Linked DNA regions of Drosophila melanogaster. The protein of the gene in region 2 interacts with the protein of the main gene of each other region in a pairwise test. Each region holds a gene or a part of one and is shown on either strand. Other genes may lie near its edges.

The links. The genes of interacting proteins can lie anywhere in the genome.
Region 1: the proteins of Sox100B (region 2) and CG32425 interact in a two-hybrid assay, tested with the Drosophila melanogaster proteins (one large-scale study listed by BioGRID).
Region 3: the proteins of Sox100B (region 2) and CG13862 interact in a two-hybrid assay, tested with the Drosophila melanogaster proteins (one large-scale study listed by BioGRID).

Annotation. Positions count from the first base shown.
Region 1 is NT_037436.4:20,495,544-20,500,380, forward strand, and holds the start of CG32425 (uncharacterized protein), read left to right. Parts: upstream 1-1,779; 5' UTR 1,780-1,882; exon of another isoform or gene 1,883-2,092; coding exon of another isoform or gene 2,093-2,921; intron 2,922-4,292; exon of another isoform or gene 4,293-4,328; coding exon of another isoform or gene 4,329-4,837. Other genes in the region: ND-39 (NADH dehydrogenase (ubiquinone) 39 kDa subunit), read left to right, coding at 82-532, 615-980, 1,049-1,442; CG18281 (uncharacterized protein), read left to right, coding at 4,329-4,837.
Region 2 is NT_033777.3:31,063,334-31,068,316, reverse strand, and holds the start of Sox100B (Sox100B), read right to left. Parts: upstream 3,065-4,983; 5' UTR 2,879-3,064; coding exon 2,679-2,878; intron 1-2,678.
Region 3 is NT_033777.3:22,330,194-22,333,117, reverse strand, and holds CG13862 (uncharacterized protein), read right to left. Parts: upstream 1,128-2,924; 5' UTR 1,039-1,127; intron 960-1,038; 5' UTR 957-959; coding exon 621-956; 3' UTR 559-620; downstream 1-558. Other genes in the region: CG33721 (uncharacterized protein), read right to left, coding at 1,317-1,472, 1,535-1,708, 1,769-1,924, 1,990-2,049; CG7080 (uncharacterized protein), read right to left, coding at 2,677-2,924.

The DNA.
Region 1 (4,837 bases), on a different chromosome or scaffold from region 2:
AACCGCCAGGCAATCCAATTATGTAATACGATGTTTGTGGCTAACTTTTGGCTCATTCTCTGTCCAATTCCGGATACTTAGAGCACCACGGCAGTGGCGTGGTTGGAGTTTTGTGCCTGCGTGGATATTCCGCCGCTGCTGCGCCGCCGGAAGATGGTCCACGTCCACTGAAGACCACCAATCCGGCTGCCATGAAGCGCGGAACTGGCGGACGTAGCAGTTTCAATGGGATCGTGGCGACCGTTTTCGGTGCCACCGGTTTCGTGGGCCGCTATGTCTGCAACAAACTGGGCAAATCTGGCACCCAGATGATCCTGCCCTATCGCGGTGACGATTCGGATGTTATCCGTCTTAAGGTCACCGGTGATCTTGGCCAGGTACTCTTTCACTTCTACAACCTGGAGGATCCCGCCTCCATTCGTGACGCAGTCAAGCACTCGAACGTGGTCATCAACCTGGTGGGCAGGGACTTCGAGACCAAGAACTTCAAGTTCAAGGATGTCCATGTCAACGGAGCGGAGAGGATCGCTAGGTGAACATCATAGCCAGCATTATTTGCCTGCCCACTTCTTCATTCTAACTTTGCATGACGTAAACCACTTTTATTTCTTCAGGATTGCGCGCGAGGCTGGCGTGGAGCGCTTAATCCACCTGTCCTCTTTGAACGTGGAGGCCAATCCCAAGGATCTGTACGTCAAGGGCGGCAGCGAGTGGCTGAAAAGCAAGTACGAGGGTGAGCTTCGCGTACGCGACGCCTTTCCCAACGCCACGATCATCCGCCCTGCGGATATCTACGGATCCGAGGATCGCTTCTTGCGCTACTACGCCCACATCTGGCGCCGTCAGTTCCGCTCGATGCCGCTGTGGCACAAGGGAGAGAAGACCGTCAAGCAGCCCGTCTACGTTTCGGACGTGGCCCAGGCCATCATCAACGCCGCCAAGGATCCGGACAGCGCTGGCCGCATCTACCAGGCTGTGGGGTAAGTCAATCTCCGAGTCCAAGTATTTGTACCATGTACATTTTCTTAATTTCCTTTATTCTCTGCAGACCTAAACGCTATCAGTTGAGCGAGCTGGTCGACTGGTTCCACCGCCTGATGCGCAAGGACCAGAAGCGCTGGGGCTACATGCGCTACGACATGCGCTGGGACCCCACCTTCCTGCTGAAAGCCAAGCTGAACAGCTTCATCTGCCCCGGCACCCCGATTGGCGGTCTGCATCCCGCTCGCATCGAACGCGAGGCTGTCACCGACAAGGTTCTGACTGGTGTCCCCACGCTTGAGGATTTGGGCGTCACGCTGACCACAATGGAGCAGCAGGTGCCATGGGAGCTGCGTCCCTACCGCGCCGCCCTCTACTACGACGCCGAGCTGGGCGAGTTCGAGACTCCCTCGCCGCCCAAGTGCATCGAGGCGCGCGATGAACTGCGTCTGTTTGCCTAAGCGGAGCGAAGTAGCTGTCTGTGTTGATTGGAAATTTTTAGTTGGAATTGTTTAAGGCGATGCGTCAATAAAGAGAAGTCGAAAGACCCAATGACAACGAAGGAAACTTATATTTCCAAATATTATATAGACATTGATATATGTATTTATTTCGTGCATTTAAATATAAAAAAATTTATAAATACTTTTGAAAAAAAAGTCAAATGGCTAGAAAAGTTTGATGTCGGAAAAAAGATTGGCAGCTCGAAATACCTTTGGTATTTTTCGGTATCTTATTGAGGTGACATCGCTCCGGCAACTAAATCAAAACAAATGAAATCGCTGTCATCGTCTGGCAACGCTTCGCCCGTCCGATTTTTCTTCCTTTGCGACCAGGAGCTTTTCTGCAGCAGTTTCCTCCGAAACTTACGCCCGTGCAGATTTATGGCCGGAAAATCATAGTACGGAAAATTCGATTTCCCAAGTTTTCTGAGTCTGTGTGTGTGTGTGTTTTTGGTGTGTGTAAAGATTTTCAACTTTTCAGCTTGGTTAAGCGGTGAAAAAAGAATATATCAACAACAACACAAGCGCGCGCCCGCCTCTCTTTTCGCGTTTTTGTGCGTGTGAGTGAGAGTGAGTGTGATAATTATGGCATAAGTGGCATACAAATTATGATAGCAGAATTCCCACGGCCGACGACGAATGTGAATTGGGAAAATCGAAAAAGCAGGCAAAGCCAGGAGGCGGATAAATCGCCGAGCGAGTGCAGCAAATCGATCAGCTGTGACGTCGACGGGGGCAGAAAGTTTGGCCAAAAGAAAAGGTCAAACAAGCAGCAGCAGCAACAACAACAACAACTGCACGCGGAACGGAAAGAGGAGGAGCTCTGTCACAAGCAAGGGGTAAAGGATAAGAGTAGTAAGAAGAAGGAGAATCTAGCAGGCGAGGAGGATAAGAAGAAAAAGCAAGAGGAAAGGGAACATAGCAAGAAGAAGCAGCAGCTTCAGCAGAAGCAAAGGGCAAATAACAAGAAGAAGAAGCGGCATCAGCCTCCCCGTGTACAGAGGAAAAAAAACCTCGTCTTATTTTTAGATTATTTACGCCAGTTTGGTGCCGTCGAAAGCGAAATTGTCGCTGTTGAATCAGCCGGCTGCTGTGACGTCAGAGAAGCAGGCTGCCATCACGCCAACGGTAAATACGCCGCCCATAACGGCACTTGGAGCCATTTCGAGCATAAAACCGAAATTTATGCTCTATATCGTCACCTGGAGATCGGTGGCCCGCTCGAACAAGTGCAACAGCAACAGCAGCTGAGGGTCTGTCCAATCAAGACCCGGCTGCGCTTCGAGATGCTCTTTGCCGAGCCACCGCCCACCCAGGGCCACGCCCCCACCGCCCACGGTCACGATCATACGGCCGATGATATGCCAGATGCGCCACCTGGCGGCGAGCCGGTGATCCCAATGCTGCAGGATCAGCAAAACAGCGAACTTATGGCCGGTGAGTCTAATCTAAAGATATTAAGTTAAAAAAACAACAAGCGGGCTTTATTTCCACAATAATTTACAAATTATTACTTTAATAAATAACGCAATTTAAGCAACAAAGTTTTAAAAGCCTATCACTATGCATGCTAAAAAAAATATATTGCAAACCTAAAGGGATATGACTCATTAGATAAAATGAGTCAATAATAAAAAGCTATCCCTCGAACGATATGTATGAAATATATCCAAACATTTTTATAATTTATAATTTAATACAGACAAATAGTGCGAGATTTGTATTTATATATTTATACCCTTTTCTTGTAGACTAAAAGAGTATTATCGGCTAGATAAAAAGTACGAAACGGGCGGGGAGGTAAGCATTTCCTGCACTCGGAAAAATTGAGAACAAAAAAATAGAGGTCGGTTGCGCTCAGCGTACTCAGTGAATAAATAAACCTTCTTGGTTTCGAGACGAAAATGATCTCAACGTTTATATTTTTTATTTTTCGGAAGAAGTATTGGGTGTAAGATTGTCGAAGAGTCTGAAAAAAGAGAGGAAGACAAATGAAAGCAAAATCATTTGCAATCTGAGAATGGTTTGATCTCGATTTGAGTATGCTGAGAATGATTAGATCTTGGCTAGATTTTAAAATCGAACTTCTCAAAACGAGAACATTTTGGTCACGTCCACTGGTATCGGCAACAAACTGCAAAAAGCTTTCATGTCCACAATTTTGAATTAATTTCTTCACAAATTTGTTTTTGTTTTTCCATTGCTAGCCATGTAATGGGTATGTGATAGTCGAAGAACTCGACTAAAGCGTGCTTTTTCGGTTTGGTATACATATGTATACTTACAATATTCTCATATCCGCACTTCTAAGTTGTGATTGTGATTTGCAAAAATGTCACTATTTATTCACAGTCATATAGAAAGTTTAGGCATGCATACTCAACCCATATTTTAAGACACGAAAATATGTTAAATAATTTTTAATGGCTTACCTTTAAAAAGTTCTAAAAGTAGATGGCTTTACTTGTTGGCTTGTAAATCGGAACCTTATGGTTCTATTCTCACTAACAAGAGAGGGAAATGTTTGTTATTATTAATAGCTTGGATGAATAATGTTAATATATTTGTGAAAATTTCAGCTATTTTGAAAACAAACTTTTAAATTCTCTTATTTGCGTTTTGCTTACGATCTCTTTGACACATCTCTTTGCTTTCTGCGAGGAGTTCTAGTTTAAACGATATATATTTTAAACGACAAAATAGTGTAGTATAGTTCGAGTATCATGTTTTTTACAGTGCAGCCATAACTATATTTTCTATAAAACTGAGGCGTATAAATTGGATTTAAACTGGAGTTGTCAGGCTATTCTGGCGTTGGCCAGTTCGCGGACAGAACACTAAAAAATGGCGCAGTTGAAGTTTCTTAGACCCCTGGTGAAAGTATTGGTTAATCGTTCTGGAATCGGAAAAGCAAGTGTTTGGCACGCGGTGATCGTTACGTTTATGCACTACTTCTCCTGGGGTCTTCTCACCGTTCCCTTCATCGAAAAATTGTCGGGATCGTTTGGGAATCGCGTCCTTCTCGTCGATGGACTGGTTTATGGAGTTAGAGGAATCCTGGGATTTGTGACCACGCCCGTGATGGGTGCCATTTCCGATTTTCATGGCCGGAAAGTAGTGATGCTACTGGCAGTGGCAACCACCTACGCTCCAATTCCATTCATGATGTTGAAGAGTTGGTGGTTTTTCGCCATTCTCACTGTGAGCTCCATCTGTGGCAGCACTTACTCCTCTTCATTGGCCTATGTGGCAGACACAACTACTGTGGAGAATCGTTCAAAAGGCTATGGCATTGTTGCGGCCAGTTTTGGCGCAGGAATAGCCTTTTCACCATCGTTGGGGAATTACTTGAT
Region 2 (4,983 bases):
CAAACCAGGAAACGGTGGAGCCTACACAACTGCTTTTTCGAAAGGGTTGAACTATCTTTCAAATAATTGATAACAATTCCGAGGTATGTTTGATATAATATGATATGTATGTCTTCATTCCCTGGCCTTCAAGTCTAAATATATAATTCCGCTGGATATGGATCTGCCCCACTGTCGCCCCATTTGGGTTGCATGGGCTGATGTGGTTGAGGCCTCCAGTGAAGCTTTCACCATGGGGAAGTGTTTGGTTAGGCTGCCCGAGATGACTTGTTGGGGCCATGTAAATTGACTCGTCGCAGCGCCGAATGTGGAACTATCGGACGGCTTGGGGGCTGGGAACCGGGGAGCTCTGGCTCTGGCTCTGCCCACCTGGCCGAGGGGTACTCCATGGGCGAGTGATAACACCTCGGGCCGGACACGCAGATAAGCAATGAAATATTTATAGCGTCGCCAAAGTCCTACCCGAAGTGGCGGCTCCTCCGACGCGCTCGCATTTCCTCCTCCTTAGTAGTAGGGCCCCATATCTAATCGAGCCAAGTAAATAGAGCAGGGCGCATAAGAAGGGGTTCCGCACATGGTGTATGTATTATTTAATAACAAACCCCGGCCCTCCCATGGCACACACACACATATGTGTATATACTACAATACATATATGAGTTTATATCGGGCTACAACGATCGTCTGACTATTCAAGTGGCTGCTCGGCACTTTGGTGTTGCTCTTAAGTAACAGTTTTCAAGTGATTCATGCGAAATTAATTTAAGCAAATCAAACAGCAATATAATATTGTGCGGTCTCCCCTTCGCCAAAATTGGATCATAAAAGTTGGCAGAAGGAAGTCACAAAACTTCAGATATGTTCAATATCAATCATCGGGCACTTAAAGATTGCAACTAACTAGTAAAATAATTAAGAGACACCGAGGTAAATATGCCAGTGCTTTGAATTATCACCTCATCCTAGCGAAATTCCAAGCGAAATGCAAAGCAATTTCGAATCAATTTCTCCTGTCAATAAGGGCAAACAGCGAAGCAATTAAACGTATCTCCCACACAACACTTACAGCAATTTTTACCATTTAAAAGATTTAATTTTTAAGGTGACAGGGATACGTGGTAATCTGGTGAAGTGAGCGGGACTTGGAGGCAAGCGATGTGCATTTAAGCGATTTTAAGTGGAAATAAACAAGGCTCATAAAGCGCAAGGTAAACAATTTGCAGAGAGTTGGGGGATAGTGAGTGCAGGAGGGCACCTAGCGGGTATGGTGGGTGCTATGGTGGTTGGGGGGTATGTTCCGAGGAGCCCCACCGTGGATAGATAAAGGAAAGGAAATGGCGCTCATATCCTTGTGCAAACACACACGTGCTCTTGACAGCGCTTTCTGCGCATTTCGCAACGAGGGGGCAACTGCGCCCAAGGATGTTTGTCCCTGGACAGCTGAAAATTAGCTCCACTCGACGGAGGCGGCGGCACTGAGGGAAATCAATACTGAATCTGGCTTTTCTTCGAGTTCATCCAAGGGTGAAACCCTTCTTGATTATGTGCACTTGCTCAAAACTTGTTCTATAAATTCGAGTTAAAATTGATGAGCATCAAACTAAGCAACTTATCACCACTCAAAACAAATCAAATTAATTACTAGACTTTTTATTCCAGTGCAATCCCAGCCAGTGATAAGCGCCGTTGAGTACAAAGCGACTGAAGGCGGCTGACAAACTCAGATAAGAATGGAGCCCTGCTCAAAGACCGGAGGTGGAAGCCCCGACATTTGCTAATTGCCGGTCAAACAGACAGACAGATAGAGCTACCGAGGATCTGGGATCTGGTGAATCTGGAATCCGAGGGATCAGAGAGATCAGCCGCTGCGGCCGCCCGTCTTTCCCACGACCTGCAGAACTACATGTACTCTGGAATACGGAACCAAGTGTCACCTCCCCGGTCCGCTTGAGTTGAGATCCGCTGGGGTTGCCCCCATCCCTCATCCCCCATCCCCCATCCACCATCCCCATCCCCATCCCCCCACCTTGTTAGCAGTTAGCGTCTTAATGCTAAAAACATATTTATTCGCTTTTTATGCCTGAATTGATTTGTCGTCGTCGTCTCGTCTTCATCTCGAACATTTAGTTCCAGTCCGCAAGTCGCATTTATTGAGGCCTGTATTTCGTATCTTTGTATCTGGTGGCTTGTTATTGCCTCTTCCTATTATTGCTGCCTTTTGGCCAATTTGTTGTTGCCGTCGTTTGTTGTTTGTCTAATATGTGTGAATGTGTAAATTCATTTATATTTACATAAATGCCGGCGAATTCCCAATCGTATTCCCTTCTTTCGCCCATATATTTTCCTTTCCCTTTGCGGTTCGCCAAGTTTGTTTATCCAGTTAAATAAAAGAAAACCCACGTATGTGCATATGAGCCTGGAAATTGTGTTAATCAGCGAACTCATCGAAGGTTGGTTAGTCATTCTCGGCTTAACGCCGGCTTCGGATCCACTGGAGGACTCGTTGTGCTCATCGGAATGCTACATATATATTCTGAATTTGGTTATCTGTATAACCATTTTATGCTGTTGGATTAACACATCCCTTAAATAGCCTTATTAACAACACCCTTTTAATTGTATCATGGCAGGCATATGAAAGGCATAAACCACAAGTCTGGCTTTTCAAAAGGACTTACTTGGCTGATGCCTGGACTAGATTCCAGTCGTAGCCCTCGAGGACCTTCATAACCGCAGTGGTGATGCGCTCGTCCTCCTTTCGACCACCCTGTCCTTGGGCCTTCTTCTGCTCGGCTTTCAGGGCATAGTTTGCCAAAACCAGCGTTTCCACCGGCTTAGCACGATCCTTCGAGCAATTGGAGCTGGAACTGTCACTCATTTTCGGCGGCACTTGTCTTAAATCTCCTCTTAAACTAAATCATCCGCTGTTCACAATCTAAATACTGGAGTCACTGAATCACGATTTGGAGCCCACGCAGATCTCGGGGAATTTTGAATGGGACTTTCGAGTAGTACGGATAGCAGAGACGCGACGAGGTTGACGGACTAACTGCGACTGATCTTGGGGATCGCTGGTCTGGTTCCCCAAGACGAGCTCGGCAATCGTCGGATTTCGAGGCGATCGTGGCGATAAGCTGAAGACGGTGGTTGGTTGGATCGTTTGCTGTGACTTGGGGGTGGTGGGGATTTTGGAGTGGGGCAGGGGCAGGGGCAGTGGCAGCGGAAGGGGGCAGCAGTACTCGGCGGGGGCGAACATAAAAATCGCGGCGGTACGCGTGTAAATATTAACATGTTCATGTGAAATTAGTTGGCCCCAGAGCGGAATCGAAAATGGGGGCGGGGGTGACGACTGTCGCCGAGAAACTAGTGGCAACATATAAACGTCAATGGTTCGACTTTTGAGTACCTAGTATTAGGAATTTATAATTAGGGAAAAATAAAAGTGATTGTATGTATATCTTGGATCCTATTAATACATAATTATAAAACTTAATAATCCAATGGGGTTTTGTAATAACTGCCACCAAATGTAGGACGAATACAACATACCCTCTATACCCAAAACTCCAGGATATCTTAAAGAGATGGCAAAGAGCTGGGACATAAATCGAAATGGAAACAGAAACAGAAATTAGTAACACTTTACAGCCACATGTGGATTTATGACACCTCAAAGACTTCGAGCCAAAGGGGTGGACTCTCGGGATCGTTAGAAACCTGCCACTTGTTGCAGCTGTATTTGGAGTCCCTTCGGGGAGGGGAGTGGGGCGCATAGGTCCTGAATGGGTAACGATTGGTAATGAGGAGTCGATAAGATCATTAGGGATTTAGGGGTTAACAGCGGTGAATGAAGATAATGCAAGGGAGTGGGGGTGGGAAGTGATCGATGGGTTCCCAGGGTGGACATAACTACAGTTAAGTGGGAGGACTATTTACCTGAAACTATTAATATGTCCTAATAGAAATTACAATGTTATGAAAAGTTCATAAGACTAGATTCCTACAAACTATGACCTACATACATCGCACTTTGTGTTTAAAATACTTACAGATACAAAAGACGAAGTTCATCCCCGGCTCACCCAGTGAAATGCAAATGCTGTACCCTTTCTCATCGATCAAACGTTTAGTAAGTCCAAATAAAAGTCGAGATCAGGTGATCTGGTAAGATCTTTTCATAACCACTTTGCACTAGATTTGCTCTATGCTCCACACGATCCAATCCGATTTGATGCGATCCGAAATCGTAAAATGCGAAGAAAACACCCTCGATGAAGAGAAATGAAATAATCGGGCAACGGAGAGCTATTCATTCCACGATCGTAAAATATCGAAGAAGTGTAGTTTGGTTACGCTTTTGTTTACCAGCTGGTTTCAACTGGAAGTTATGGTAGGACCCAAGTGGCTATCTGCAGCGCACGTATCTCAGCCGCCAAATAGTTTTGGGGGTTTTTACATCTTTATAATTTTTACAGCTCAATTAACTTTTTCAATTCAAACGCCGCCGGCCAGGCAGACAAATCGAAGTATCGAAATTAAACAATAAAACAGAGAAATGCATAAACGAAATCATAAATACCTAGGCCATTTCGGATGTTTTATGCCAAGTGGGGAGATGAAATCGAACCTGAAAACTGACGTCAAAGCAGCGCCCGTTTCTTTACTCTTTTTGGAAGTGTCATAAAAGGCATCAAAATGAAAATTATACGATACTCCATAAAAAAGAATGAAATACACAAACGCCCAGAACTTCGAAGGCAGTTCGCTGAACTGCAGCGACTGGAAAATTGATTCGCGTCTAGGAAATTTAATGGCCGACCATCTAACAATTTCCCCAGCCGCGTTCAAGCATTTTTTTTTTTTCTGGACCGGCAAACTTCAAAGCCCGCAACTTGTTGATAAACAACTCGCTGAAAAAAAAGCTAAAGAAAATATTATGAATTAATTAAAAATATTTGCGCTGTATAGGAAAAAAAATTAGCG
Region 3 (2,924 bases), 8.7 Mb from region 2:
CAAATAAATTATTTATTTATTGTTAACTGCAATCAAATTTTCGTCATTTTGATCGGAATGCTGTTTAAGCCACTTTTTTTTGCTGATGCCATCTAATTCCATATAATTGGCCAAAATCCATTAACATTCACTTTATCACCGAATGCAGGCCAAAATGGGCGAATAAAAACAGGGATGAGACGATTGTGGGTATTTTTAGACAAGTAAATGGATTAATTGGAATTGAATTGCATGGCTTAAAAATAACACAATTTTAAGCGAATTTTTTTTATAAACTGACATCCAATGGATGCATATCAAAAGAAACTCAAAATAAAAAGAAGACCGAAAGATAAATTGGGAACTGTGAAATAAACCAAATATCGTCACAATAAATAAACGTATATGTTTCCTTAATAGGAGACAAAGTTGCTATAGCCATGAGTCACTTAAGAAATTAATTATCTTGATGTTATGTATAAACACAAAGTCAAATTTGGATCACCGTAAATGTTTTGTTTATATAATAAATTGTATGTGTTTGTACTAAAGAATATAACTAAAATCAACAATACCAATCTCTTTCACATAAGCAGACTTTTATTTCACGCAAATTTTCCGTCATCCAAGTAAACCACATTTCATTGCTGATCCAAGAGAATACGCTTGAGTTCCTCGATCCGATCCGGCGTGGGCTCAAAGAACGAGCTGTCCACCTCGACTTCCTGGTGATTGTAAATGCGACGCGGCTGGGGGCGGTTGGCATGGTAGGTGGTCAGGGCAGCGGCATGATCCGTCGCCTCCACGTTTCCGCAAGCCTGAGAGGGATGCCCTGGGTAGACACGTGGCTTTAGCCGGAGCTTCCTGGGGGGAGAGATCACCTGGAGTTCCTGAAGTTGCTCACCCGATGGCTGGTCATAAAGGTAGCCATCATCGGGGCCGGCCCAAACCAAGCTCAGTGCCACTCCGAGCATCATCACCTAGCAGAGTTAAGCGTTTGATGTCATCAGTGGGAAAACGAGTTATGTAGTATTCCGATTTTCGATCTGTGACTATTACCACAAAAGTTAGCAGCGAAATCGTCTTCATGGTTCTCCGTTTCCGATTCTTAATATGTCTCGTCGCTTCGGGCGCACAAAACTGACTGGCTCGAAGAAGCTCTTTCCATTCTGCTAATTTTTGGTATTCCCCTGCCCTATTAGAACCTATTATGCAATTATGTTAACGCTTATGACATAATCAAATCACTAAGAGAGAGAAAAAGGCGACAATATTAACATAAGCAATAACGTAGAATTGTTTGATAATTTTAATAAATTTTAAACCGCTGCTTCTGATTATGATACAGTATAATATATGGAGATGGTGGCCCGTTCTATGTTTCTGCTGTACCATATGCTGTTAAAACTGTAATCCCCAGGTGGGAGTGGAAGGATGTTGGTAAAGTGCTCACTCAGATATTTGGAGGGAAGTCTGTCTATGATAAGGTCGTGCTGTAAAAATGTTATTGTATAACATCTAGAAATAATCATTTGAAAAGTTCTCATTAACCCACATCATAGGGACATTTATGGTTGGTATTTGTGTATTTTTTGGTGATCTCCTCGAAAAGTCTGAGCATCGGATTGGCCAAGTTCTTCTTGTAAGCCATATATTTGCAAACATCTATGCTGGCGGCTATGGTTATGGGCATATAGGACCGAAATCTTCTCGAAATTTGAAGTTTTGCCTACATCAATATATACGCTTAGTGAGTGGGATTTTTAAGCCATTTTTTTTTAATACATACCGATGCGTTTGTAATAGGTACTTCGTACATGTTGGCCTTGAGTGATATGTACTTATAGGTTCGATTTACGGATTTTATGAAACAGTACTCGAAGCTCAAATAAGTCGGGTCCTTCACATGACACTTAAAATTCGTAAACTCCAACTTGGAGGCATTCTGGGGTTAAAAACAAATGACTGCATCTTTATAATGTAAGATGCTTAATTTTATTGTATCCTTACTTCCATTATATTTCCAAAAAATATAACTAGCACAAACAATTTTGCTGCCTTGGAGTACATTTGTGTAACTGAACAAGCCAACGATGACTAAAGTCATACAATTTTCATAAACTAAATGTGGTTTGGTAATGAGAAATTGATTAATTACAAAGTGTTTTTATTGATCTGGAACCATTTAAATATTATCTATACATATAATAAGCTGCGTAATTAGCTATGTATATATGTCAATCAAATTTTAATTAGTATCAAAAATATTTTTGCGAACCCATAACTCCCTTTTCTTATCTATTTTAATAGTTTTTTTTTGGTCATACTATATTCCCAATTGCATTTACGACCAGACATTTGCATCTGTGGTTAGGTACATCGACCCCATTTCTCGCTGTGTAATCAATTTAGCTAATTAGCATTTCATGGCTCGACCATATGCAATCCCACAATAAAATATCACCATCACCAGCTGATTGAGCAACATGCAACAGGTTATGCGATTAACATATTTGCTGAATCGAATGGACTTGTATGCCTACTTTTGGGCTTGTTAAATTAATCACCCGAAACGGTAAGTATGCGTGATTTAAAATTTAAACAATGATCGATTTATTTACAACAAACAACAAACTGACAACTAAGCATATCAACTAATTCGATGTGAAATTCGGTGAGTAAGATTAGAGAGGACATTTAGTTGTAGGGGTATCTGGAGAGGACCTGCTCCTTGCGCTCGAAAGTGCGTCGATTCTTTGGTCGCAACTGACCCTGACTATTGACAGCAGCTCCCGCTGGCACATAGATCACCTGGCTCTTGTAGCAGCCCTCCACTCGAGGTTGGGTACTGGCTCGCACTGTCTGCAGAACCCGCTGGTGGCTCTCATCCACCTCGCCTGGATTGAACTCCTTCTGCTGGCAGGCTCCACCTCCCGGGCAGCTGG